7 linked regions of the Mus musculus genome follow. The protein of the gene in region 1 purifies or fractionates together with the protein of each later gene. This does not show direct contact. Links are inferred from orthologs where the notes say so. Each region holds a gene or a part of one and is shown in the gene's direction. Other genes may lie near its edges.

The links.
Region 2: the proteins of Neurl4 (region 1) and Ube3a purify together in Homo sapiens (affinity purification with mass spectrometry; 3 studies listed by BioGRID and IntAct, with this or other methods). This does not show direct contact. The link is inferred for Mus musculus from reciprocal best matches to the Homo sapiens genes NEURL4 and UBE3A.
Region 3: the proteins of Neurl4 (region 1) and Mapk6 purify together in Homo sapiens (affinity purification with mass spectrometry; 6 studies listed by BioGRID and IntAct, counting the BioPlex papers as one, with this or other methods). This does not show direct contact. The link is inferred for Mus musculus from reciprocal best matches to the Homo sapiens genes NEURL4 and MAPK6.
Region 4: the proteins of Neurl4 (region 1) and Znrd2 purify together in Homo sapiens (co-immunoprecipitation; 4 studies listed by BioGRID and IntAct, with this or other methods). This does not show direct contact. The link is inferred for Mus musculus from reciprocal best matches to the Homo sapiens genes NEURL4 and ZNRD2.
Region 5: the proteins of Neurl4 (region 1) and Cep290 purify together in Homo sapiens (affinity purification with mass spectrometry; 3 studies listed by BioGRID and IntAct, with this or other methods). This does not show direct contact. The link is inferred for Mus musculus from reciprocal best matches to the Homo sapiens genes NEURL4 and CEP290.
Region 6: the proteins of Neurl4 (region 1) and Ccp110 purify together in Homo sapiens (affinity purification with western blotting; 4 studies listed by BioGRID and IntAct, with this or other methods). This does not show direct contact. The link is inferred for Mus musculus from reciprocal best matches to the Homo sapiens genes NEURL4 and CCP110.
Region 7: the proteins of Neurl4 (region 1) and Cep97 purify together in Homo sapiens (affinity purification with western blotting; 4 studies listed by BioGRID and IntAct, with this or other methods). This does not show direct contact. The link is inferred for Mus musculus from reciprocal best matches to the Homo sapiens genes NEURL4 and CEP97.

What each region holds. Positions count from the first base shown.
Region 1 is NC_000077.6:69,911,816-69,914,324, forward strand, and holds the end of Neurl4 (neuralized-like protein 4), read left to right. Parts: coding exon 1-39; intron 40-113; coding exon 114-279; exon of another isoform or gene 280-999; coding exon of another isoform or gene 1,000-1,093; exon of another isoform or gene 1,094-1,311; coding exon 1,312-1,516; 3' UTR 1,517-2,009; downstream 2,010-2,509. UniProt on the Homo sapiens protein: Promotes CCP110 ubiquitination and proteasome-dependent degradation. By counteracting accumulation of CP110, maintains normal centriolar homeostasis and preventing formation of ectopic microtubular organizing centers.
Region 2 is NC_000073.6:59,227,356-59,231,549, forward strand, and holds the start of Ube3a (ubiquitin-protein ligase E3A), read left to right. Parts: upstream 1-1,394; 5' UTR 1,395-1,916; intron 1,917-2,334; exon of another isoform or gene 2,335-2,445; intron 2,446-4,194. UniProt on the Homo sapiens protein: E3 ubiquitin-protein ligase which accepts ubiquitin from an E2 ubiquitin-conjugating enzyme in the form of a thioester and transfers it to its substrates.
Region 3 is NC_000075.6:75,407,217-75,411,282, reverse strand, and holds the start of Mapk6 (mitogen-activated protein kinase 6), read left to right. Parts: upstream 1-1,266; 5' UTR 1,267-1,420; exon of another isoform or gene 1,421-1,428; intron 1,429-1,923; exon of another isoform or gene 1,924-2,081; intron 2,082-4,066. UniProt on the Homo sapiens protein: Atypical MAPK protein. Phosphorylates microtubule-associated protein 2 (MAP2) and MAPKAPK5.
Region 4 is NC_000085.6:5,729,806-5,733,026, reverse strand, and holds Znrd2 (protein ZNRD2), read left to right. Parts: upstream 1-1,294; 5' UTR 1,295-1,332; coding exon 1,333-1,351; intron 1,352-1,431; coding exon 1,432-1,583; intron 1,584-1,701; coding exon 1,702-1,786; intron 1,787-2,314; coding exon 2,315-2,658; 3' UTR 2,659-2,721; downstream 2,722-3,221. UniProt on the Homo sapiens protein: Might play a role in mitosis. Antigenic molecule. Could be a centromere-associated protein. May induce anti-centromere antibodies.
Region 5 is NC_000076.6:100,571,082-100,574,581, forward strand, and holds part of Cep290 (centrosomal protein of 290 kDa), read left to right. Parts: intron 1-981; coding exon 982-1,061; intron 1,062-1,192; exon of another isoform or gene 1,193-1,798; coding exon 1,799-2,026; 3' UTR 2,027-2,484; coding exon of another isoform or gene 2,485-2,679; 3' UTR 2,680-3,500. Other genes in the region: 4930430F08Rik (uncharacterized protein C12orf29 homolog), read right to left, coding at 2,485-2,679. UniProt on the Homo sapiens protein: Involved in early and late steps in cilia formation. Its association with CCP110 is required for inhibition of primary cilia formation by CCP110.
Region 6 is NC_000073.6:118,722,543-118,726,042, forward strand, and holds part of Ccp110 (centriolar coiled-coil protein of 110 kDa), read left to right. Parts: coding exon 1-496; intron 497-1,912; coding exon 1,913-2,043; intron 2,044-2,760; coding exon 2,761-2,917; intron 2,918-3,460; coding exon 3,461-3,500.
Region 7 is NC_000082.6:55,903,849-55,907,348, reverse strand, and holds part of Cep97 (centrosomal protein of 97 kDa), read left to right. Parts: intron 1-1,479; coding exon 1,480-2,181; 3' UTR 2,182-3,500. UniProt on the Homo sapiens protein: Acts as a key negative regulator of ciliogenesis in collaboration with CCP110 by capping the mother centriole thereby preventing cilia formation. Required for recruitment of CCP110 to the centrosome.

The sequences.
Region 1 (2,509 bases):
TTGTGCGGAGAGTGCTGGACCGAGGGGAGTTGGGAGCAGGTATCATGGAGTGGGCTGTGCTGAGGGATCTTGGGAGGAATCATGGGGCTGCCCTCACCCAGGTCTCTTCACAGGTACTACCTCCATCCTGAGCTGCCGACCTTTGAAGGGAGAGCCTGGGGTGGGATTTGAGGAGCCTGGTGAGAACTGTGCACCTCCCCGGGAAGAGCAGCCCCCTCCAGTGCTGCTCTCCCCCTCCCTTCAGTATGCCGGGGCAGAGATGCTGGCCTCCAAAGTGCAGTGAGTACATGCCGGGAGCACTAGGGGCTCAGGGCTGTGCTCAGTCACCCACCGCACCCTTCCTGCCCTGCTTGTTCCTGGATGCACCTTTACCTGTCACTGTTCCTCCTTCCCTCCCGTAATACACACGCATGCGCGCGCACACACACACATATGCACGCACACACACACAGAGGCACGGTTTCTCTATGTATCCCTGGCTGTCCTAGAACTCATTCTGTAGACCAAGTTGGCCTTGAACCTAGAAATTCTAATTCCAGTGCTGGGATTAAACACATGGGCCACAGGGAATCAGATTCCATTATAGATGGTTGTAAGCGGTGCTGGGAATTGAACTCAGGACCTCTTGAAGAACAGCCATCTCTCCAGCCCCTTTTGGTTTTTTTGTTTTTGTTTTTGTTTTTGTTTTTCTTAAAACAGGATGTCAAGTAGTCCAAGCTGGCCTCACATTCATGTTTGGTTTGTATCTGAAGCCGGCCTTGAACACTCAGTTCCTGGTTCCATCTCCATGCTGAGTGTGGATTAGATGAGTGCATCTGTAGGCCTGTTTTTCTGAATGTGTATGGATACCAAGTCTTTCAAAATATCCTGCACCAGGCAATGGGTTTGACCCCTTGTACTACCTAAACTGTGCTTGCGCATTGTAACAAATTCCTGGAGTCCTAACACTAAGTGGCAGGGTCAGTGGGTCGGAAGTTTAAGGTTGTCCTTCCTTTATAGGGAGGTTGACTCCAGCCTGGTAGAGACCCTATACTGTCTCCCAAAAGTGGGTGAAGTAGATGAGAAGTGCACTTGGAGTGTTTGGAAGACGTGAACTAGAGTGCCAGGGTAAATAAACACATGAAGAGTGCTGGGGAGGAGTTAGCTGAGCAGGCCAGGGGAGGAGAGTACTACATACACAATAGTTGGTGCTAAGCCAGTCACGGTGAACAGTATTTCCCAGAAAACAGCAAGGCCTGGGTGGAGGGGGCAGAATTAGCAGTCATGGACCTTGGGAGCCTTACTCTTCTCTCGTTTCTGCTTGGCTAACAGATTCCGGGACCCAAAATCCCAGCGGACACACCAGGCTCAGGTGGCCTTTCAGGTGTGTGTGCGCCCTGGCTCCTATACTCCTGGCCCTCCCTCTGCGGCCCTCAGAGAACTTCCTGACCAGCACTTCAGCCCATCGGAACTTGAGTGGGTCACTAAGGAGAAGGGAGCCACACTCCTCTATGCCCTGCTGGTACGAGTGGAATAAGGGGTGACATACCACTACTCCAAGCACAGCCGGGCCTCAAGCCCAGGACTCTTGAATGACGACTGCCTCCACCTCATTCCCGTGACTGAGAGCATGTCCAGTGCTGTCCTGGCAAGGAGGAGCACGTAGGCAGGCTTTGATTTAGAGCAGGTGTGAAGCACATCTCTACATTCAGGGCCCAGCACACTCCCTCTGCTGAGAGGGAGCCCAGCTCGTCTCGGGGTCCCCCCTTCATGCACTGACTTGGGGAACATGACTCCCTATTATTACCCTCCCCCATATCACTTAATTTATTTCCGTTTTTGTTTCTGGTTACTGTGAATCCCAAAGGAGTCTCTCTGTGCCCACATGAAGCTGCTTTTTCCGTGGCCACTGGGCGCCATGGGGAGGGAGTGGGTAAAAGGAAGGGCTGCCCGAGGACGCTGTGGGCCTCTGTACAGTTGTTACTGACTCTGATTTCTAAGGAGCCAATAAATACTGTCTTCAGAGCATCTGCCTCCGCCTCTGTCTCCCGCGGCCTCGCGAGTGAAGAGTTCTAGGGGCTTTATCATCCCAGGCCGCTCTGTAAATCCACATGGAGTTTGGACATCCCGGCACCCGTCTCTAAGCGCTTCCGCCTTCCCTTTCCTCCAATCGGCTGTGCCGTTTGCCGTCGTGACTCCGGAAGGATTTATCCTGGCCGCCGGATATGACGTAGAGGCCAAGGCGCGCCGAAGGCCTCGGAGAAAGCGCCGACAAGGCGGGTTGCGGGGGTTGGCGCCAGGGCTACGAGGGAGGGGCGGGGGCGCGGAGCCTAAGACCCTCGCACGCGCCCCGGCGCTGAGGCAGAGACCCCGGAGGGACGCTGGTGCCCGGGACACGTGATCGAAGTGGCGAGCGGGCGGCGGACGGGCTTCCGCTTCGGCGCGTCGCAGTCTCTCTAAGCTCCCACTTCCCTGCAGGCCCCGCCTGAGGTCTGGCAGTCAGTGAGAGTCGGGTGCCCACTGCCCAAGC
Region 2 (4,194 bases), on another chromosome or scaffold:
GACTTTTATTTAGGAGTGAATAGCTGAAAGCGTCTTCACATGCTGCAACAGTTTATGTACTTTACTTTTCTTAGCAGTCTAATGATTTTCAGTTTTGGTTTTGTATTTAAATAGTTTGCAAAGATAACTCTTTAAAGGGTTACATTTATTACTGGCCCCTTTCATATAATACAATGGTATTCCAAATGAGGATCTTTAATGGATGGAGAAAAAAAAAGAATAGAAAAAATTTAAAGTATCTTAAAATCTGATATAACAGTTGCACTTATTATTTATCCTGTAATAGTTTACACACACACACGCCTATTATTTTTTAATTTTAAAAAATTGCAAGCCTTTAATCCCAGCATTCAGAAAGCGAATCTCTGAATTCAAAGCCAGCCTGGTCTACAGAGTGGGTTCCAGGACAGCCAGGGCTTCACAGAGAAATCTGTCTTGAAAAACCAATAATAAAAATATTTTTTATAGTGGGGAGATCTTTCATATATATATGATGTGTATATATATATACACACACATACACACACATTATAGGAGCTGTAATAAACAGAAAAGCACATTAATACATGTGATTGTTACATTTTGAGCACTAGATGATTAAGGCTTACTAAGTTGCAAGCCAGGAAATAACATGTCAGCTAGTCTTTATAATAATTTAGTGTCAAAATCATTAACAACAAACCTAAGTTAAACCCTCACTCCGGTACCAACAAGTCACATGGCTCTAACAGGGTTCGGGTGTTCTGTAAATCAAAATTAGTCTCTATCCACGTGTGATCAAGCAAGGCGGTTTCTTCTCAGTTGACATCTACTGGAAGACAACACAGGAGGGGCTGGGCTTTTACCTACTAGTCTGGTAAGCCAGTGACATATCATGTTCTGGCAGAGGCTGATGGCCTTGTTTGCTGAAAGGTTGCCCAATCTCAACGCCTGAATCCTTTACTCGGACAGTTCGGATGAAAAGTCGTAAGGGTCAGCTCTAGCAACAAAACGCTTCTATGCCTCCTCGTGCCGCCAGTAGGCTACACCCTCTTGGCCTATTCGTCCCTCTGACTCCTGGGCTTTGCTAGGCTGGGTAGACCTGTCCGCTCTCGCGAGTACACCGAAGCACACTGGTCTATAGATTGAGTAAAAGGAGCAGAGGCTAAAAACACCAAGCCTCTCTCAGCCCAGTCTCAAGATGGCGACGATGCTGGCCAGCTTCCACCCAGCCCAAGGCCATCTCCCCTTCCCAAAGGCCCCTGCGCCGCAGGCGAAGGCGAGCTAGAGGAGGGCCCCACAGAGCTGCGATCGGGGCGGGGCAGAGCCCGTCGCCATCCCACGCACGCGCAACCCCGCCTCGCATCCCGCCTCCGGACTCCGAGCCCTCGCCCGGCAGGGTTGGCGCGCGCTGCCTGTCGGGATACTCGGTCCGCCCACCTAGTCCTCTCGTCCAGTGCTGCGTTCGCGAGATCCGTATTTCTCCCAAGATGGTGGCGCTCCTCTTTGGGTGACTCCAGGAGACGACAGGGCCTTTCGTCTTTGCCAGCACCTCGTCGCCCCTCCTGCGCTCGCTCTCTCGCTCGCGCACCGGGCCACGCAGCTGTTCACCGCCTCGTTACGCTTCTCTTCCGTCGACCTGTCGCTGACGGTGGCGCCTCCTTCTGCTTCTCTTCGGAGTTGCTCGCCGCCCTCGCCCCCCACTGTGGACAGATCGCGACAGCAGCGCTTCAGCGCCGACTTCAAGGTTGCCCAGGCGCCTGGCCTCTCGGCCTCGGTTTCCTGAGGAGAAGCGCGGGTCCCGCATGAGACCCGGCGGTGGCGCCAGCGAAAGGGAACGAGGCGGTGGCGGGCGGCGGCGGTGGACGAGGGCGACAAGGACCAGTGAGGCGGCCGCAGCTGCGAGGGCCGCAGCCCACGCGCGGGGGCGAGGACAGGTCAGTGCTGCTGCGGCTGCGGCCTGCCCGGCGCGCTCCCTCTGGTCTGTACCGCCGGTCCCCTCGTCACCCTCCGGCCCGCGCTGACAGGGTAGGCGCCGGGCCCTCACCCGCCTCCGTGAGCGAGTGCTTGGGGCGCGTGGTCTGGAGGGGCCGGTGCCAGGACTAGGCCCTGGTGGCTGCGGCTGCTGCAGCCTTAACTGTCAGTGCTGGCTGGACGCAGGAGGGAGGGTTTTGTCACCCACGGGTACCCGAGTGGGCCCGGGGTGGGGCGGACGTGCAGGGCGTCGAGATCGGGGGCCTCATCTAAGCAGAGATCGGAGAGCCAGCCGTGGCTTCAGGCTGCGAAAGGCAGGCCTTTTCCTCCAAAGGGGCGCTCTGGTGGGGAAGACATATTTAGATGTGTGCTTAGTGGGTTGGGGTATTGGGGGTGGATTGGAAGGAAGACGGATGAAGCGGCACCTCAAGCCCAAGGATTGCGCTCTGGTTTTATTCGTGTGCTGCTTCTGGTAGGATTCAGTAGTTGAACGTGAGTTACTGATTCCTCAGAAACTGCTGTGTTAATTTTCAATGCAAACCTGTAAGCAGTTGGCCTCCTCCTCTTCTCCCCTCCCCCTTTTCAGTTGAGAAAATGAAAAGGACGTTTTCCCCATTTTGATGCGGAGGCTTTTTGTTGGAAGAATCAGAGTTGAATGTGCTATAATTGCGTTAGCCTTAAAAATAGAAAGTATAATTTTAATAAGACTTTATCAGCTTTAGAAGAATCCTCTAAAGACAATTTTACGTCAATTTTTTTTATGTCTTTTGAGCATGCTAAAATAGAACAGTATAAAATCTCTTTGGGATTGCGTTAAATAGCTAGTGTACTGTTGGAAATGTTAACTAAATAGTATATGGGATGTGTTATCCACCATTATCTTACTTCGTGAAGGATATTCGTATAACCCATGGTTTTGGGAGAAGCAGCAGATTATGTTAAAATGTTTTGGATAGGGAAGTGCGTTTGAAATAAAGATGGCCTGAACTTTAAGAAATACAGCTGTTAAAAAGCTAAATATCAAAGCCCTATTGGACAAGAGACACGACGAATGTTTTTGACACACCTCAGATTAGTTAATACTCTTAAGATATCTTTTTGGTAAATTATGTAAATTTAGAATTGAGGAGAGATAAAAGGAAAATTTTGTCTTGTTATGTATGACAGAAATTGCTTTAGTATTAAATTCTCCTCTTAAATAGACTGCTTACTGCACTTTTAAGGAAGTGGATACTGCATCTGTATTGCTGATAAGCCTAAGTAAGGATGACTGTAAATCCATAAATACTTAGCTTTACAAAAAAGCCATGTATCAGAATCTGTAATAAAAATGAGAACTTCAACAATTCGCAGTCTATCGTTTAAGAAAGATACAGCACATAATAAAGATGAGATGACTTGTAGTTTTGTTTTCAAAATCAGAATGTAGGTTGTGAAATAATTTGTGTCAATATTTACCTTGCATGGTGTGTTGTGAAGTGGTATACACATACTTCTTTGGATGTTGCTCTTCATATAACTGAGGAGCTTAACTTTGAGTTTAGAAAATTCCTTTTGTATGCAGGTTTTGTAGGTGGCTTTTTTATCCCTGAAATAGCCACCATCACCCTTTTTTTTTTTTTTTTTTGAGAAAGGGTCTTATGGTATATCGCTGGATGACGTCTAACTCTCCTCTTGGCTTTGTCTCCAGGGTTCTGCGATTAAAAATGTATACCACCAGGACCGGCTATTTACCCTTTTTATGGTTTTAAATTAGAAAAATGTGATTTCTACCTGAGACAAAACTCATTCTATTTGATTCGTTTTTTTTTTTTTTTTTTTAACATTGCATTCATTAGGTATCTATAATGTCTCTGACATGTAAATTTTATTCAGTTGTATTTCTTAAACATTTGTGTCTTCCCTCAAATAATTGCAGTAATAATTGTTTCTCTCAATTTTTATGAACATTTTCTTTTTAATTGGCCATAGCTATTTTTTTTTCTGTTCAAGAGCTTAAGATGATCTTTTCAAATGTCCTTTAAAAAAACCAACACCTTAAATGAATGGTTACTGGTATATTATCATTTATTCTAATTAGGTTTGTTTGTTATTATTGATAATATTACTGTTAATGGATTTATATTATATTTATATGCAGCTATTAAAAACATCAGTGTTCTGATTTTTGCAACTGGAGATGAGTTTTAAGAGGTGGTCTTTTAAGTACTTTCAAATACGGAAAAACAATATAAAAATATA
Region 3 (4,066 bases), on another chromosome or scaffold:
AGGAAGATGGAGGTCCCAGAGTCCATCAGGAGGAACTAGAGGGAGGACAGAGTGGGTCGGTGGAGCAGAACTTCACAGTGCCGGCTGCACTCAACAGCTGTAAATCTCGCTTTCTGTAGGCATTACTGCTCTTCTCCTGGTATTCAGATGGTATTGCTTTAAATATAATAGAGCTGGGCTCAGCTGCCTAAGCCTATAATCCAAGCTCTGGGGAAGCTAAGGCAGGGAGATTAGGTGTGCTAGGGCAGGCTGAGTTATAGAGAGATGCTGTCTCACAAAGCATATATTTTAATGTATCTCTGTATTAGGAAACATTGAAGCTCCTCTCAAGCTCTTAACTTCAAGTGACTGTGTCATCTCTGAAAGGGGTTTGCTGCTTACAGTGGATCATGGACTGCAGTGGCCATATTTTCTTTAGGATGGTCAATTACCACTGATAGAAAGGGCTAACCGAACCTCTCATTTTTCTTTTTTGTGAGGCGGGGTCTCAGTAGTCTGGGCTGGCTTTGAACTCACTATGCAGCCAAGGATTAACTGTATCTTCTAATCCTTCTGGTCTCCAAGACAGGGATCACAGGGGTACAACAACAAGCTCTCCCAGCCTTTTGAGACAGGGTCTATTATATAGCATAGGCTGTCCTGGCACTACATAGACTAGTTAACTCATGTGCCACTACTCCCAGGCAAACCCTGTGCTTTTTATATCTAAGTTCCTAAATACTTAAATTTCATCTAAGCACTGGAAGGGCAGCTATCTACCTTTCTCAGCACGCCTATGTCAAACTCTGGCTGGTCTCAGCGATCTCAACAAGCCAGCCACCCTGCTGACTGAGCTTTTGCTCAGTTTTCCCAGGACCCCTCACTCATTCACCTCCCTGGTTACCGCGGATGCTTCTAGAAGCAGCCAACGGACCCCGGGGACCGATCCCAGGGGCCTTCCCAACACCACCCTGAGCTTATCTGCTCAACAATCTGGCCTAGCATATTCGCCTTCGCCCACTTCCTCCCGACAGCACGGGACCCAGCAGCCGTTCAGACGCTCGCCCTGTCGGGTCACTTGGTACGACACTCTGGGCGGTGGTTCAGCTGAGGCCGGGGTGTACCCGCCAGCAGGCCGCGTGCAGCTCCGACCGCCCCCGCGGCGCGCGCAGTCACGGGCGTTGGAAATTCCGGCGCGTGCGGCTCCCCGGCTGGCGGGGGCGGGGCCGCCGTGGAGTGAGCCTGTGACGTGAGGGGGCGTGCCTCTGCGAGGCCCCGCCTTCTCTCCGCGCCCTCTCTGGCGGGTCGGGGTTACATGGCGGCGACTGCGGCAAAGCGAGAGCCTCGGAAACGCCGCTGCCGCCAGCACAGCCGGAGACCTGAGCCGACCTTGAGGGCTGTCCGCGGGCCCTGCACTCTGTCGATGAGTCGGAGAAGTCCCGTGAGTGTGTATGTGTGTGTGGCCGGGTGCGGGCCGGCGCGGGAGGGAGCGGCAGAGGGCCCGGCGGCGGCGCCGGCTCCCGCGTCCATTGTGTGTGACCCTCCGGGCGGCCGCCGCTCAACAAAGACGCTTTTGTTCCGTGTGCCCGCTCAGCCCGGGCGGCGCGGCCGGCTGCGAGGGCCAGGTCCCCGCGTGGGGCTGGCGGCGCGGCCGGCGCGCCCCTCCCACCCGGCACGCCCCTCGCCGGGCAGCCGGCCGCAGGCATAGCTGGCGGGCCCCCGCCGCCTGCACCGGGCTGCGCTTCGCGGGTTCGAGTCCCCGCCGCCCGCGCCCGGTTCCGCGGGTTCGAGTCCCCGCCAACGCGCAGGCGAGGGCGGTGGTCCAGGAGCGCTTGAGGCGGTGGAGGCTTGCCTTCCTGGCTCGCTGCCTCCCTCAAGCTCTCCTGTCTCCTCCCCTCCCCAGCCTGCCCGGGTGACTCGGCCTCAGCTGACTCCGGCCGGGCAAAGTCTCCGGCACGTTGCGTAGCGCTCTGCTCCTGCCCCTAAGTCCGCCCAAGTTTGTGCCTGGCGGTCCACGAGGTGCCGGGGACCGGCCTGAGACAGGGCTCCTGACACCTTTCCGGACGTTAAGGTGTGATCCGGAAAAACACCCTGATGAAAACGTACGTTACCGGTTACAGGCCTCCTCACTTGGAGCTTGTTATGATCGGACTTGGGAGTTGTGAGGAGTGGAGGGCTTTCGGCCGCCTTTTGTTCCTGCCTGGCTTTGGCTCTCCGGCTCAGGTGCCTTGGGGAAGCTGCGTGCAGCAAGCTCCTTTAGATCGCTTTCGTGTTTTACCTTTCTTTGACTTGAAAGTAGGAAAGATGGAGCGCAGGGACTTGGTAAAGGGGAGTTAGGTCTCTTTACAGTATCTAAACAGTTCGTGTTCGTTGCTAAGAGTCCGGAGGCAGTATTAACTTTTTATGGATACAGATAGATGATTGTCAGAGGGGGAAATAAAAACGTTCTCAGGCCATCAAACGAAGAGCAGCTAGCTTCAGAATAAATTGTTGATTATTCTAGCGTTTTTATTTTGGTAAAATTCTGGGTTTTGACGTTCTGTCTCTTTAACGTTGGAGAACTGCGTTGGAAAGAATTTGAGAAGAATGTGGGGTCTAACCAGGGTCCAGTCCTCAAAGGGATTTTGTTGGTTGCAGAGACAGTCGCCACGTAGTCCCAGCTAGGCTTTGAGTAACGATTCTCCTGCCTCGGCTTCCTGCTGGGTTTAACACGTGTGCACCATTGTCCCCAGCTTGAGAGTTTCTAGAAATGACAGATTTTAGTGTTTGGAAATAATTTTGAATTGAGTGGAAGAAACATATCTTTAGCTTGTAGTTGTTAAAAACCTGTTTGTAAGCTGCTTTAACAAAAATATATGTTGTATTAATGTAATTACATCATAAATCTTGCTTTACTGATGTCCCAATTAATAATTGTCATCTCGGAAGCTTGTCAGATTTGAGCAGACAGTTCTATCGCTTCAGTATTACTGTTCCTGAAAAAAAAAAAAAAAAGACCCTGGGAAAATGAAACATTGTTTAAAGTCAGCTTTCTATATGAGGATATTTTGCAGTTTAGTCATTTGCAGGAGAGGATTAAAGTAGCCTGCCCACTTTTTGCGATTAAAAAAGATTCTGGGGAGGACTGGCTTGCGGAACATTTAGTTTCTCAGTAGAAAAGACAACGGTTTTAAAGACAAGTGTAAGTGCCGAGAGCGCTGCAGCATTTTATGTAAGTTCCCGGAGGATGTGAGAACTAAGAACTCACAACCTCGCAGGCCTGCTGACTCAGGGGACCCGGGGAAGGGCCTGGGGTCCAGTGGGAGGAGGCACAGAAGGAAGGCTGCAACTTTGGAGTTGGGTGATGACTCACCCTGCCCACTGCCGCCACTACTACGTGGCTTTTTTTTTTTTTTTTAAATGATAGGCTAAAGTGTTTCTGTCCATATCAGAAATCTCTTTTTCTCCGAAGGATAGTGTCAAAAAACAAAAAAACTAATGGCTTCTTAAATTGGCTCTTAAAAGGATATCCAGTACCCTGCAGGTACAATTGTGTAACATTTGTTGAGAGAAAAGATAAAGTCAATTGCTGTTTAGTTGCTGAAATTAAATGTTTGATAATAACAGGTCTTTGGCTGCTAGTAAGAGAGATTTTTTTAGGAAGTTATATATGGACAGACAGTACATTATAGTCTTGGTGGAAATTGGCTAGTTTTCATTGATCATCTATAAGGTATTGGTTTAAGTGTTGTTAGTAGGAACTGTAAAACATACTTTCTTGTGATATTTATGCATTTTCAGTATATTGAAATTATTACTATCATTTTTATCAGTATGGGGTTTTGCCTGCATGTATGTCTGTGCACCATTTGACTGGTACCTTCAGAGAGGCCTGAAGAAGACATTGGATCTCTTGGCACTGGAGTTTCAGAGGCTTGTGAGCTGCCATGTGGGTGCTAGGAATCAAACCTGGATCCTCTGGAACTGCAGCCAGCTTTTGTAACTGCTGAGCCGTCCCCGAGCCTGGTGAATTTTCTATTTTAATGAGGACAGGTTGAAACAGGCATTGTTACAAACACTGTTTCCAATCAGTTTTTAAAGAGAGAAA
Region 4 (3,221 bases), on another chromosome or scaffold:
TCCTCCTCTTATTTATTTTATGCATGTGAGTATATGGTAGCTATTTCCAGACACCCCAGAAAAGGGTGTCTTAGCCCTTTTACAGATGGTTGTGAGCCACCATGTGGTTGCTGGGAATTAAACTCAGGAGCTCTGGAAGAGCAGCCAGGGCTCTTAACCGATGAGCCATCTCTCCAGCCCTTGGTCTTTTAATTACTTGGTGCTCTTGCAAAGAACCCAGGATTATGAGGAGCACTGGTCCTTGATTTGTAACCCACTCGAGTATAAGCCATTTTCACCAGCAGGCCCTACAGTCCTCTGAGAGGAGAGAATGCCTCCGTAAGATCTGGTGGGCTCTCCTGTAGAGCACTTTCTAACCAGTGATCAGTGGGGGAGGGTCAAGCCCATTGTAGGTGGGGTCATCCTTGGGCTGCTGCTCTTGGGTTCTGTAACAAAGCAGGCTGAGCAAGCCATGAGGAGCAAGCCAGTAAGCAGCACTCCTCCATGGCCTCCAGCTTCCTGCCCTGCTTGAGTTCCTGCTTTTGATGAACATGTTATATGGAACCATGAGTGAAACAAACCTTTTCTTTTCTTTTCTTTTCTTTTTTTTTGGCTTTTCGAGACAGGGTTTCTCTGTGTAGCCCTGGCTGTCCTGGAACTCGCTCTGTAGACCAGGCTGGCCTCGAACTCAGAAATTCGCCTGCTTCTGCCTCCCAAGTGCTGGGATTAAAGGCATGAGCCACCATGCCCGGCGAAACAAACCTTTTCCTCCCCAAGTTATTTTTGGTCATGGTGTTAATCCCAGCTATACTAGTCCTAACTAAGACAGCAGGCTTACATCAGTTCTAGGCATTGGTAGAAGGTGGACAGAGGACACCCAACACGCAAACAGGGAGGAGTGTTGAAATAGGCAGAAAACGACCTCAGTGTAGCTAGCCTAGTTTGAAAGATTTAGAGAACTTTTTATTGCAGTGACTGTTGGGCAGATGTCATGGTCCTGCCCATCTCCTGCTTCCCCTGTGTGGAAAGACAACCCTGAGGGAATCGGGTATTTCACAGACCTAAGGGCCACTTTATCTGAGGCAAGTAGAAATGGAGACTCTGAAAAGCCACACCCGAGTACTGAAGCGTTACCAGGGAGACGGTGGTACCCAACCATAGCTCTGGCCACCAGCCGAGCCCGTAGGTCAGGGTCAAATGTGCAGCAGACACGCCCCCCCTTTGACTAAAGCGCCAGGAAGACCGTGTAAGCGTCACTTCCGCCCTCAGCTACCACATGTGGGAGGCGGGGCCGTAGTGGGGGCGCATCTTATTTGGATCACTTCCGGTGAGCCCAGCAGTGACCACGGCAACATGGCCTTGAACGGTGCAGGTATGCGCTTGGGATGTTTGGGCAGTGGCCGTGGGGTGCGGGAGGCAGCTCTCTCTATCTCCTGTGCCTGTTTTCTCTAGATGTCGACGATTTCACCTGGGAGCCTCCGACTGAAGCTGAGACGAAGGTGCTGCAGGCGCGACGGGAGCGGCAGGATCGCATCTCCCGTCTGATGGGGGACTACCTGCTCCGTGGTTACCGCATGCTGGGCGACACGTGCGCCGACTGCGGGGTGAGGCGAGTGATGAGGCCGAGGCCGCGGACCGGGCCGCACGACCTTTCCTCAGCTCCCTCTTCTGTGAACCCTGTCTCTCCGGCTCACCTATGTCCATGTACTTTCTGGTCCCCAGACGATCCTCCTGCAAGATAAACAGCGGAAAATCTACTGTGTGGCTTGTCAGGAGCTCGACTCAGACGTGGATAAAGATAACCCGGGTGAGGGTCCGAGTGTGCACTGTGGGGAGAAGAGAGTGGCGATAGCTACAGAGGAACTGTGAGCCTGGGAGGTGACAGTGGAAACTCCTGCGTGCTGTGGCATTAAGGTGCCTTCTCGTTTCCGCCCTAGAGAGGTGTTTCATTCAAGAAAGACCATCAGCCTTTTGTTTCTGACACCGTGGGGAGAGTCCTAGCAAAATAGTCATCCTACGTTGTAGAGTGCACGTGCAACCCTGGGTGCTTGTGCATGTTGGACAGGCATTTTACCACTGAAGGGCGGGCATCCCAGTTTACAGGAATAGACTTGATGCATAGATGAGGCCAGGCCATCTGTCAAGCAACTGGACCTCAAGTGTAAATCAGTGGGGCAGTGTTTGGCAAGCATGTGTAAGGAGAAAGAAGAGTAGAGATGAGATGGGATTGGCTTAGGCAGAAAACACCAGCAGCTCAGGGACATCAGTAAAGAGCACATGACTCGGGAGAGGCGGACGGGGCACCCTCACTCTTCCACCACTTTTCTTGTTCTAGCACTGAATGCACAGGCGGCGCTCTCTCAAGCTCGGGAACACCAGCTGGCCTCATCTACAGAGCCTGCCTCGAGCTCTCGGCCCCCATCCCAGCCACCAGTACCCCGTCCAGAGCACTGTGAAGGCGCAGCAGCCGGGCTCAAGGCAGCCCAGGCGCCTCCTCTTCCGGCTGCACCTCCAAATACGGACGCGGTGGCTTCCACACAGACGGCCCTCCTGCAGAAGCTAACCTGGGCGTCAGTCGAGCTGGGCTCTAGCACCTCCTTGGAGACTAGTATCCAGCTCTGTGGGCTTATCCGGGCTTGCGCCGAGGCCCTAGGCAGCCTGAAACAGCTGGATCACTGAGACCTCTATCCTGATCCCTGTTCCCCTGAGAAAAACCCTCCAGAAAAACAGTTTTTCCTCCGCGTGGTTTGTTCTTTCTTGGTTCTGAGTGTGCATGTGAGCCCCAGTTCTCCTCGATGGTTTTCCTTGCTTTTGGCATCTCACCTTTCCATGGTCTTTTCTACCTGAATGGTGAAGTTCTGCATTCAGGACAAGAAGTAAATGGCAGAGGGATAAGTGACACCTTATTCCAAGGACTGACCTCAGTCTTCCCAAAGGCTGGGCCACTAATCATTGTCTCTGACCCAGTACCCCCTTTCCTCCACTTGAGTGCCATTTGAAGTTTCAGTCCCTTTGGTGGCTTCCTTTCCTTCCTTTAACCATCCTGACTCTACCATCTTTCTCCATCTTCTGGCTGCTAGGATGTTGACAAATTGTGGGGAGGGGCAGTGATGCACTGTAAGAGTCAGGCACAGTCTTACCTTCCTACCCCAGACTCGGGCCTCCCACATCCCCGTGCTTTTAGAATCCTTCCCTTGGGAGAGGACACATTGTATAGGAATGAGGCAGCAAAAGGTCGCCAA
Region 5 (3,500 bases), on another chromosome or scaffold:
CCTATTTTCTTCATGCAATTTTTCACCAACAGTGTGTATAAGATCTCAATGACTAGGATCAAACTAAGAAATATATACATACTAATCATGTTTACTAGGGCACTCAGGTAAATAGAATCAGCCACTGTGTCCATCAACAGATGCACTGAGATAAAATGTGGTACATATATATAGGAGAGTTTTATTAAGTCATAAAAATATCTGTAGGAAAATGTGACTACAGATCACCTTAACTCTCAGGAAGACAAATAGTTTATCTTTTCTTCATCTGTAGAATTGAGATTTACATGACATATGACATAGAAATAGAAGGGGAACATTATTTTTTTTTTTGCCTCTAAAAGGAAAATGCATTGTTGTTTATTTGGAACCCTGCTTGTTTGTCCAGTCTCTGAGTGATAGAGGACACCCCAGAGCACTCCAGTACACTTCCCGTCCTTACCATGAAAACTCGCTTTCCTTAGTTCATCAAACTCGAACATTAAAACAAAACTCTTTACCTTTCAAAGACTGCATGGAGTGGCAGGACACTGTCTATTAACCTGTGTGCTGATTCCTCCTCCACAACTTCATCTGTGCCACACGTAGTCTTAGATGTTTGGCGTAAAGTGTAAAAAAAAACCTTACACACAGTAGCCAAAGCTATGTGGTGTGAAGGCATAAGTGGCCAGCTTAGCATTTTAATTCGTTGCCTGTATACATAGTACCTAACAAATTTACTGGTTGCAAGGTTTTTCTCTCAAAAATAAGAATTCCTCTCATATAAAAAAAGAATAGCCCACATTTCTGATAGCTGGCAGCTACCTTACTTGCTGAGTCATGGCCATGCAGTTTGCATGCGAAGTCTTCCCACCATACAGTGCCAGATGATGCAGACCTTCGCTTTCATGTTTCCTGTTTATTCTGAAACAAATCCTCTATCTTTAACTCACTCACAGTAAAGAAAAACATAAGTCATAATTTTCCTGACTATTTTGGCAGATTCTGATCAACTAAAGGAAAAGATAAATGACCTGGAGACACAACTCAGAAAGTTGGAGCTAGAAAAGCAACATTCGAAGGTAATTCGTATTGGTGTCTAACTTTAGTATGCTCAGTGTTTTGTGAAAACAGCTTTGGGAAATAATTTTTATGATCACCATCTTTAAGTGTATAACCCAAAATTCATGGATTTATTTCACACTTATTATTTGACTCATGACAACTTTTTATTAAACAACTATCAACAGCAAAAAATCAGACAAACAGAAAGTACTAGAGAATAAATTTATTTTTAAATTGTAACCAATGCACATCTCTTAATAGTTTTTTTAAACTATTTTCTTAATTTGTGGGTCATGGTGGGGAAAGTGTTTTCTAAGTCCCTTTTGAAATTATTTTCAGGGATCTTTCCCTTAAATCATTTAGTGGTCTGGCTGCTCGTCACTGGTCTGTGTAGATGCTGTAAGCATGCACTTCACCAGGTGCTTAACCTTTCCAAGTCCCAGGGTTCCCATGATCATAAGTATTATATATAAAAGATAAAAAATTAGAACATTATAAATACTGAAAACTCTTGAATGTTGTTGTAAAAAAGCAAAGTCCCTTTCGCTTGCCTGGGAATATCTGAGGCAGTTTAAAGATTTAATCTTATAATTTAGCTAAAGATGGCAGCTTCTACATTATTCACATGGTACAACGGAACCTTGAACAGTAAAATATAAAGAAAAATATTTACATTTAAGATTTTGAGTTTTTATGTTTATAATTAAATCTAAAATTTCAAACCAAAAACATGTATCCTGTATGTAACTTTTAGGAGGAAGTTAAAAAGCTGAAAAAAGAACTGGAAAATTTTGATCCTTCATTTTTTGAAGAAATTGAAGACCTGAAGTATAATTATAAGGAAGAAGTGAAAAAGAATATCCTATTAGAAGAGAAGCTAAAAAAACTGTCGGAACAGTTTGGATTTGAACTGCCTAGTCCTCTTGCTGCTTCTGAACACTCGGAAGATGGAGAAAGTCCTCATAGTTTCCCTATTTATTAGTGCCCTCGTGTAACTGCAGGTTTAAAACTATTTTATGAGTGAAAAAAGTTTCAGCTGGAAATCAAGCAGTCTCTGTGTTATAGAATTTACAGCTCAAAATATTGTATTTTTTTTGTTTAAAAAAATCATATTTAGTTTTAACTTGTTAGAAAAGTATATTTTTGAAGACTTCATTAATTTATGACTATACAGTGCACAATGAGCTATGATAAATATTACTATTTTCATAATAACTTAAATTTTCAAAAAGCATAAAGGTAAGCTTATATCAATTTACTATTTAAAATTGATTATTTTATATTTATTTTTGTGTTAAGATAGTCAAATCCTAACGATGATTTCTATAAATACCTAGAAACATGTTTAGAAGTTGACAGGTTTTGCCAAACAGCTAGCAAAATTAAATGCAAACTATTCAGTCTTAGAAAATCACAATAATCTCAACAATTAGTTCCATTTTATACATCAAGTATTATGTCTTTGAGTCTCTCAAATTTCTGTTTATCTATTTTTGAAAACTGATTAAACAAAGACTGGTTATCAAAAGCACAGTCATAATTGTTCAGGTTCAGGTTCATGTTAATAATAACTGGTTTGGAATTCATGTAAGTATCTGGAAGTGGCCAGCATAAACCAAGATGGTGACGATGGACCTGTAAGGAGAAAAAAATGATGGTATTAACTTTAGTCGAAAACAGCATCGTAACTTATACTTGTGAATACTGCTACCTGCCAGGTCCACTGTAAGGGTCTACCTTTTCTCATTCTAGTTCAGTTCCATAGCTGCTCTTTTGACAGTGCTGTCTGTCTTCCCCATTGGGATATGAGCTTCCTGAAGGCAGAGCAAATGTTTTGTTTACTCTGCCAATACCTGAAAAGTGCCAGTAACATAATGAATATAGTCTGTTAGTGACTACAGAAAAAGTAAGTGTGAGCCTGACTCTAGTGTCACCAAAGGAATGTTAGTGGCAGAATGGTAGGGTAGTCTGGGATCACAGTTGGTTAGGACGTTGCTGGGTAGCTGTTTCCTCCACATGAAAACAAGCACTCTAGATGGAGCCTCTTTAAGACCCAGAAAGTAAACAAACTTCACACGTCTCACTGTACTGGCTAGTTTTGTGTCAACTTGACACAGGCTGGAGTTATCATAGAGAAAGGAGCTTCAGTTGAGGAAATGCCTCCATGAGATCCAGCTGTAAGGCATTTTCTCAATTAGTGATCAAGGGGGGAAAGGCCCCTTGTGGGTGGGACCATCTCTGGGCTGGTAGTCTTGGTTCTATAAGAGAGCAGGCTGAGCAAGCCAAGGGAAGCAAGCCAGTAAGGACCATCCCTCCATGGCCTCTGCATCAGCTCCTGCTTTCTGACCTGCTTGAGTTCCAGTCCTGACTTCCTTGGTAATGAACAGCAATGTGGAAGTGTAAGCTGAATAAACCCTTTCCTCCCCACCTTGCTTCTTGGTCACGATGTTTGTGCA
Region 6 (3,500 bases), on another chromosome or scaffold:
GAGCGGTCTGCTATGGAAGGTCCCTTCATAGCTGATGACAGGGGAGCCCAGAAGGTGGACGGTACTTGTATGGCTGTGCCCAAGTTGCATGAACTGCAGCCCAGCAGTCAGTGTGTGTCAAGTCAAACCTTGGAAGATGTGTGTGAACTCAAGTCAGCCAGTCTGCTAGCAAAGAACTCCTGCAACTTACAAATGGAACTGAATAAATCTTACGATGTGAAACACCCATCTCCCTTACTTACGCAAACCCAGACTTCCAGACAGCAGATGGACACACCGCCGGTGTTCCGTGGAAACGAGCAGTTTGTAGATAACAGTTTTGAGAAAGTTAAGCGGAGACTTGATTTAGATGTTGATAGTTTACAAAAAGAAAATTGTCCTTATATTATAACAGCTGGAGTAGCTGAGCAGGAGCGGGACCGTCTGCTGGAAAGAAGATACCCCAAGGGATTCGTCCACATTAACAAGAATAAGATGCTAGAAACTAGCCCCAAAGGTAAAAACTTAGAAGTGATTTGAAATAAATTGTCCTCTGTATGGGAGGGCACTCAATTGTCCTGATCTTACTAGAAACATAGCACCTGCTTACTGCCCTTTGCTAAGGTTCCTGTGGTTTTGTTTGTTTGTTTGTTTTTTAACTTATTTATTTATTTTATATATGAGTACACTGTAGCTGTCTTCAGACACACCAGAAGAGGGCTTTGGATCCCATTTCAGATGGTTGTGAGCCACCATGTGATTGCTGGGAATTGAACTCAGGACCTCTGGAAGGTCAGTCAGTGCTCTAATCTACTGAGCCATCTCTCCAGCCTTGTTAAGGTTTCTTAAATCAACCGGGCGTGGTGGCGTATGCCTTTAATCCCAGCACTCGAGAGGCAAAGGCGCAGAGAGGGGCAGAGAGAGAGGGGCAGAGAGAGGGGCAGAGGCAGGTGGATTTCTGAGTTCGAGGCCAACTTGGTCTACAAAGTGAGTTCCAGGACAGCCAGGGCTATACAGAAAAACCCTGTCTCGAAAAACCAAAAAAAAAAAAAAAAACCAAAACTTTTTTTTCCCCTTAAATCAGAGCAAGTTTCCAAACAGCCAGGGCTATGGAGAGAATCTCTGTCTTAAAACAAACAAGCAAACAAACAAAAATCACCTTTATAAGAACCTTAATAAAACCACTCTGTAGGTGGGTGAGGTGACACAGAGGCAGGTGGGGCTCTACATACGAAACCAGCCTGCTCTACTTAGCTTGCTAAGGCCACATAGTGAGACTCTCTTTCCAAAACAATAAAAATATGCCCTTCCCCCCTCCCAAAACAGTTGGTACCGGGGGAATAATCACCTTCCATCCTCTGAGTAGAGAACCATGTGTGGGTGAAGGCTACCTCAGTGAATGCCAGAGCTCACGAACCCACTGCCAAGCCAGGTGCTAGTGTTTAGTGAACATACAGGATGTGGCTGGTCATGCAAGTGGCTGGATCACTGTGAGAGTAAGTGAGGAGGCGGTGGCACAGGGTGGCTGCAGCTGCCCACGGCCCCCCGTGCCTCTTCCCTTAGAGAGTTCTTGTAGTCAAGTGGACTCTTACTCAATGGCGCTGTTGAGCTGAGGGGCTGTGGTTCAAAGGTGTTTTACTTCTCTGTGCTCTCTTCAGCTCAAGGAGCACATCTTAACGCTGGCTGGAGACGGGGAGCCTTGGAGCTCTGTTGACTGAGTGGGGAGGCGAGGAGGTGCAATGCTATGCTTCTGAGTAGCGGGAAAGAAGGGGAGAGGCCAGTGAGGATGGTGCACTGGGGAACTGGCTATGTCTGACCTATGTTATTTGAGGAATATCCTCTGGTCAGAAGCATAGCTCAGGTTGATGGCAAAAAATATGAACTGTTGGACCCGCAATGAGTTTTCTCAATTTAAGCACACATTTCTTTTCAGAAGGCCAGGAACTACTGAAAAGCAAGATGTTAGCTTTTGAAGAAATGCGAAAGAGACTAGAGGAACAGCATGCCCAGCAGTTGTCACTCCTCATAGCTGAGCAGGAGAGGGAGCAGGAGCAACTGCAAAAGGTGAGGCACTGAGATGCGGTGGCCAGCAGTCGGGTTAGTCAGCGTGTGATCTGGGCCATGTGTGTACACTGACAGTTTCCCTCTGTGTATCGTATTTTGAGGTGGTCATTGAGCCTGATATGTAGATAATATTTTGATGTCAGAATGTGAAATCTAACATTTAGGTCCTCACCTAAAAGCCGCTGAGTAATTTGTGGAAGGGCACCTTACTGAATCCTTCATTCAGAATTGCTAATATTTTGAAAGGTATTTTAAAAATAGATGTTGAATATACATTTTCAAGAATGATATTATAAAGATACTCGTTTTGTGATTTTTTTTTAAAAGATTTATTTATTTATTATATGTAAGTACACTGTAGCTGTCTTCAGACACTCCAGAAGAGGGAGTCAGATCTCCTTACGGATGGTTGTGGGCCACCGTGTGGCTGCTGGGATTTGAACTTGGGACCTTTGGAAGAGCAGTCGGGTGCTCTTACCCACTGAGCCATCTCACCAGCCTGCGTTTTGTGATTTTTAATCCCATTTTAAATTCAACTTAAAAATGAAAAACTACCATTTTACAAAGTGAAATCAGCTGAACCAGTTATCCTAACTTTGAGGGAGGATTGAGATAAACAATCATGTACCCTGCACTACACACACTTTCAGGCTAAGCCTAGAGTGGCATTAGTTCAGATTCCATTAAAGGATGCTGTCCTACATGGTCAACTTGCAGGAAATAGAAGAGCAGGAGAAGATGCTGAAGGAGAAGGCAGTTACGACGGACGTCTCTGACTTGAACAGTGCACTGGAGTGGAGACAAAGAACCGATTCTGCTTTGCTAGAAACCATGCTGTCCCAAGTGGACTCACTCCAGACTTCAAACAACTCTGGTAGAGTTTTAAGAATTGTTTTCCTCTTGACAGTTATTGTGTAGTGAGCTATTTTAATCATAGGTTTCTTCTGGTAATTTAATGCCCATTCCACCCCCTATTTGCCTGCTGTTTAGTAGCCATGAAAAATGACATGATATGGGATCTAAGGCCACAGAGCAGGTGTCCTTGAGAGGACTCACCATAACAAGAGCAGGCGGTTGGGCCCAGAGCCTGGCCCCTCATTCATGCAGCAGGTGCCATGCTCAGGTGAGAGCAGTTGGCTATCTCCTGAGTGGTTTGGAATTACCTCTAATTCCCCAGCAGCAGGAAGATCTTTTCACAGCATCAGTTATCCCGAGTTCTGTTTGTCTTGAAAAGCTCCATCTGGCACAGAAGCTGAATGTCCATGGATATTTCATGTCTGCGTTTGGCTCAGTCTCTGAGATGGCTGTTATTCGAGTGTCACAAATGTTTATTACAGCATTTTGCATATTCTGATTATGTGACATTCAGTATGATGCCACAGATCACTATACTAGTCTGTACTGTGTGTTTCTCTAGGCTTCATAACTTCTGCCCTGCAGTACAGCTTCGGCTCTGC
Region 7 (3,500 bases), on another chromosome or scaffold:
ACTATCAGAAAGTACCTCAATGGCACAGAGCTGTATAGTGAGAACCTGCCTCAAAAAAAGACAAGAAATTCCCCTGGAGAGTAGTCAAAGTGAAACTAAAACTTCTCTATTTGGCTTTCTCCTCTCCCCAGCTATCTTTATCTACTTCATTTTATTTTATCTTACTCTATTTTTGAGATAGGTTCTCATGTGGTCGAGGCTAGCCACACACTCACTCTAGCTAAGGGTGACCTTGAACTCCTGATCCTCCTGCCTGCATCCCCCAAGTGGTGGGATTACAGGTGTGCCCCATTACAACTGATTTGTGTAGTGCTGGGGTTTGAAACCAGCACCTCGTGTATGCTAGGCAAGCACTATACCAGCTGCAATTAAAAAAATAAACATTTCTGTGTATGGGTGTTTTGCCGGAGTGTATGCATGTGACCTATGTGTGTACGGTGCCCTTGGGGCCACAGGTGAGTGTGGAAGCCTCACACCTGGAGATGTGTACCGTTGTGACCTGCTGTGTGGGTGTACCGTTGTGACCTGCTGTGTGGGTGTACCTTTGTGACCTGCTGTGTGGGTGTACCGTTGTGACCTGCTGTGTGGGTGTACCGTTGTGACCTGCTGTGTGGGTGTACCGTTGTGACCTGCTGTGTGGGTGTACCGTTGTGACCTGCTGTGTGGGTGTACCGTTGTGACCTGCTGTGTGGGTGTACCGTTGTGACCTGCGTGGGTGTTGGGAACTGCTCTCCTACAGTCAAGAATAGCTTGTCTTTTTAACTACTGAGCCCTTTCCCACCCTTGCCTTTTTGTTGTTGCTGTTTTTGTTTGCTTGTTTGGTTTGCTTTGTGAGACAGGGTTTCTCTGTGTAGATCTGGCTGTCCTGGAACTCACTCTGAAGACCAGGCTGACCTCAAGCTCTCGAAGATCTGCCTGCTTCTGCCTCCCAAGTGCTGGGATGAAAGGCGTGTGCCACCACCGCTCAGCTTGCAATTTTTATAGTAAAAAATTGAAATTATTTTTATAACTTTAAAATATTAAGGGCCATATTGTCAAGAACTTGGGGTATTTTTAGTCATTTTAGAAAGTTATAAATACTACATTTTAAAATAACTGGAAACCCCATGTCTGCATCTATATCTAAAATAGACTCATTTTAGAAGATGCACTTAGACTCAGAGGTGCTAATCGGCCCTTATCGACTAGATGTTGTCTATATTTTGCACATTATCGATCCGTTAGTGAGAAAGATGCTGTCGTATTTCTCCCGTGAAGCAGGAGAACTGCTATGGCCTTCCTCTCGTGCTGGGGGTTACGCTTTGCTGCCAAGGACATAAAACACTGTGCCTGCCCAGTTAGGCTGGGGTCAGCCCTGTGAAGGGATTAGACGGGTAATGAATGCAGGCAACTGCAGGACTTCTGTGGGGGAAAAGCTCTGGACATTTAAAAAAGACAGGCTGTTTACTTTCTACTAAAACTGTGTGTCCTGGTTTCCAGGTAAGATCTGTACAAGCTTGGCAGCAGACAGTGGAACAGCGTCTGGCTTCCTGGCCGCCCGACGTGCCTCCTATATCAAGTACTCTGGCGTCACCCAAGCCCCCGTTATTTCCACATCATCAGGACCCCTCTTCGGATCAGAGTTCGGACTGGCTCGTTGCTGAGGACGAAGCTGCGCAAGGGAGATCAGCGCCAGACTTTCCCGACTCTGGGTTTCACTCCTCCCTGACAGAGCAAGTTCCCTGTCTGCAGGATTCGTTGGATTTTGAAAAGAGTTCGGTAGAAAGCAGCGAAAACTCCGTGTTGGGGAATTCCGCTGACACGGTGAAATGCGTCAAAGACCGAGACTCGGAGGCCACAGCCGAGGAGCACAGTGACTGCAGTAGGGAGAGCTCAGCCAGTGAGCAGGACAACACTCTGCTCCAACAGTATTTAACCTCCGTCCAGCAGCTGGACGATGCCGCAGAGGCGGCCGATTCTGACGATGTGGCAGGAGACGGTAAGCGTCACCTCGCTTGTTCTCCGGAAAGGTTTGACGCCTCCTCTGACAGTGAGACTCATAGAGTGGCCTCTACTTCACAGGATGAAATTAGCCAGACGCCAGAGAATTGTCAGTTAAACGAAGAAGCCCAAGGGCAGCCTCCGGAGTGTGACCCTGCCTTTCAGGGGTTGCATGTGGGTGTCACTGTGCAGCCTGTCTGATTTACTGGGGAGCAGAAATTCAATTCGATTTTCTTATGTTTTCAAGTGTCTCTTTTGCAGGGGAGCAACCCTTTCCCCCATTTTGTTATTATTTATATACAACTTGTTTCCTTGTCCCACACTTTTTAGATATTAGCTACTGAACTACGTCTTCATTTTCATTGTACTACTGTACTAAACAATATTGATATTAAAAGGCATATGCACTTTATTTCTTAATAATTACACCAATAATGTTTCCTTTACATCCGTACTGCCTTTCAGGAACAGTTCCTTGCAGTAGTTTTGGTGATTTAAGTAGGAGAACTTGGCTCTTGTTAGTCACATGGTAAGGGATGGAATATGTAAGGCACGGCTAGGGTGAGGACTATGGAAAAGTGAAATTTCCCAGGCAGTCTCCTTGGCCTAAAACTGTGGCTTTCCACCCTTTGTGTTAAGGAAAGCCTTCTTGTATAAGAACACTTAGGGAGAATAAGGTTTAGTGTGTGTGTGTGTGTGTGTGTGTGTGTGTGTGTGTGCGCGCGCGTGCCTTATGTGTGCGTGCTGGCATTTAAAAGTCTGAGCCTGGAGAATGGTCAGCATGTGCCCGGCCATTGAGCTGCTCACCTAACTCCCAGATCGTAAGACTTTTAAGTGGGTGATTAAATTGCCTCATGACAAACATTAGCTAATTTGTGGATCAGTTTTGAAGTAAGGTATTCCATCAGGATTAAAATCAAGCTTGCTCGGGCAAGTATCTTTCTCTTTGCTATGGAGAAAGGAGACATAGAGTTAGTCACTTGGAACCATGCTGTTCAAATGCCTCTTTTCATTATGTACTCTTTTAGGCTGTTGACATTTATGTGCCAATACTTTGGGGAAGAAGTAGATCGTAAGAAATCAATATGTATTCATCATTATGGTCTTGCTTTTATTTCTATATATACTTCACCAGAAGAGCCAAAGCTACACTTCACAGTGTGTGTGTGTGTGTCTGTGGACCACAGGAGTTACAGCCCTGTGCATGCCCCATGGAGCTGTGTCTCAGTCCTTATTTCACTCGTGACCTTTGTCCCTTAGTGAAGAACGTTTAAAATCCTGATAGACTGCAAATGTTGTTTTTTTCCTGAAGAATTTTTTTTATCTAATCTCTGAAAAGTGCCATATTCGAAGGACAATGTACTGGTGACTAAGAAAAGATAAATCCAGCTGGGCTTGGTGGCGCATGCCTTTAATCCCAGTGCTTGGGAAGCAGAAACAGGCAGCTCCCATGAGTTCAAGGACAACCTGGTTAAAAGTAGGTGCTAATATCATCCATTATTCTATTAAAGCCATTAGAG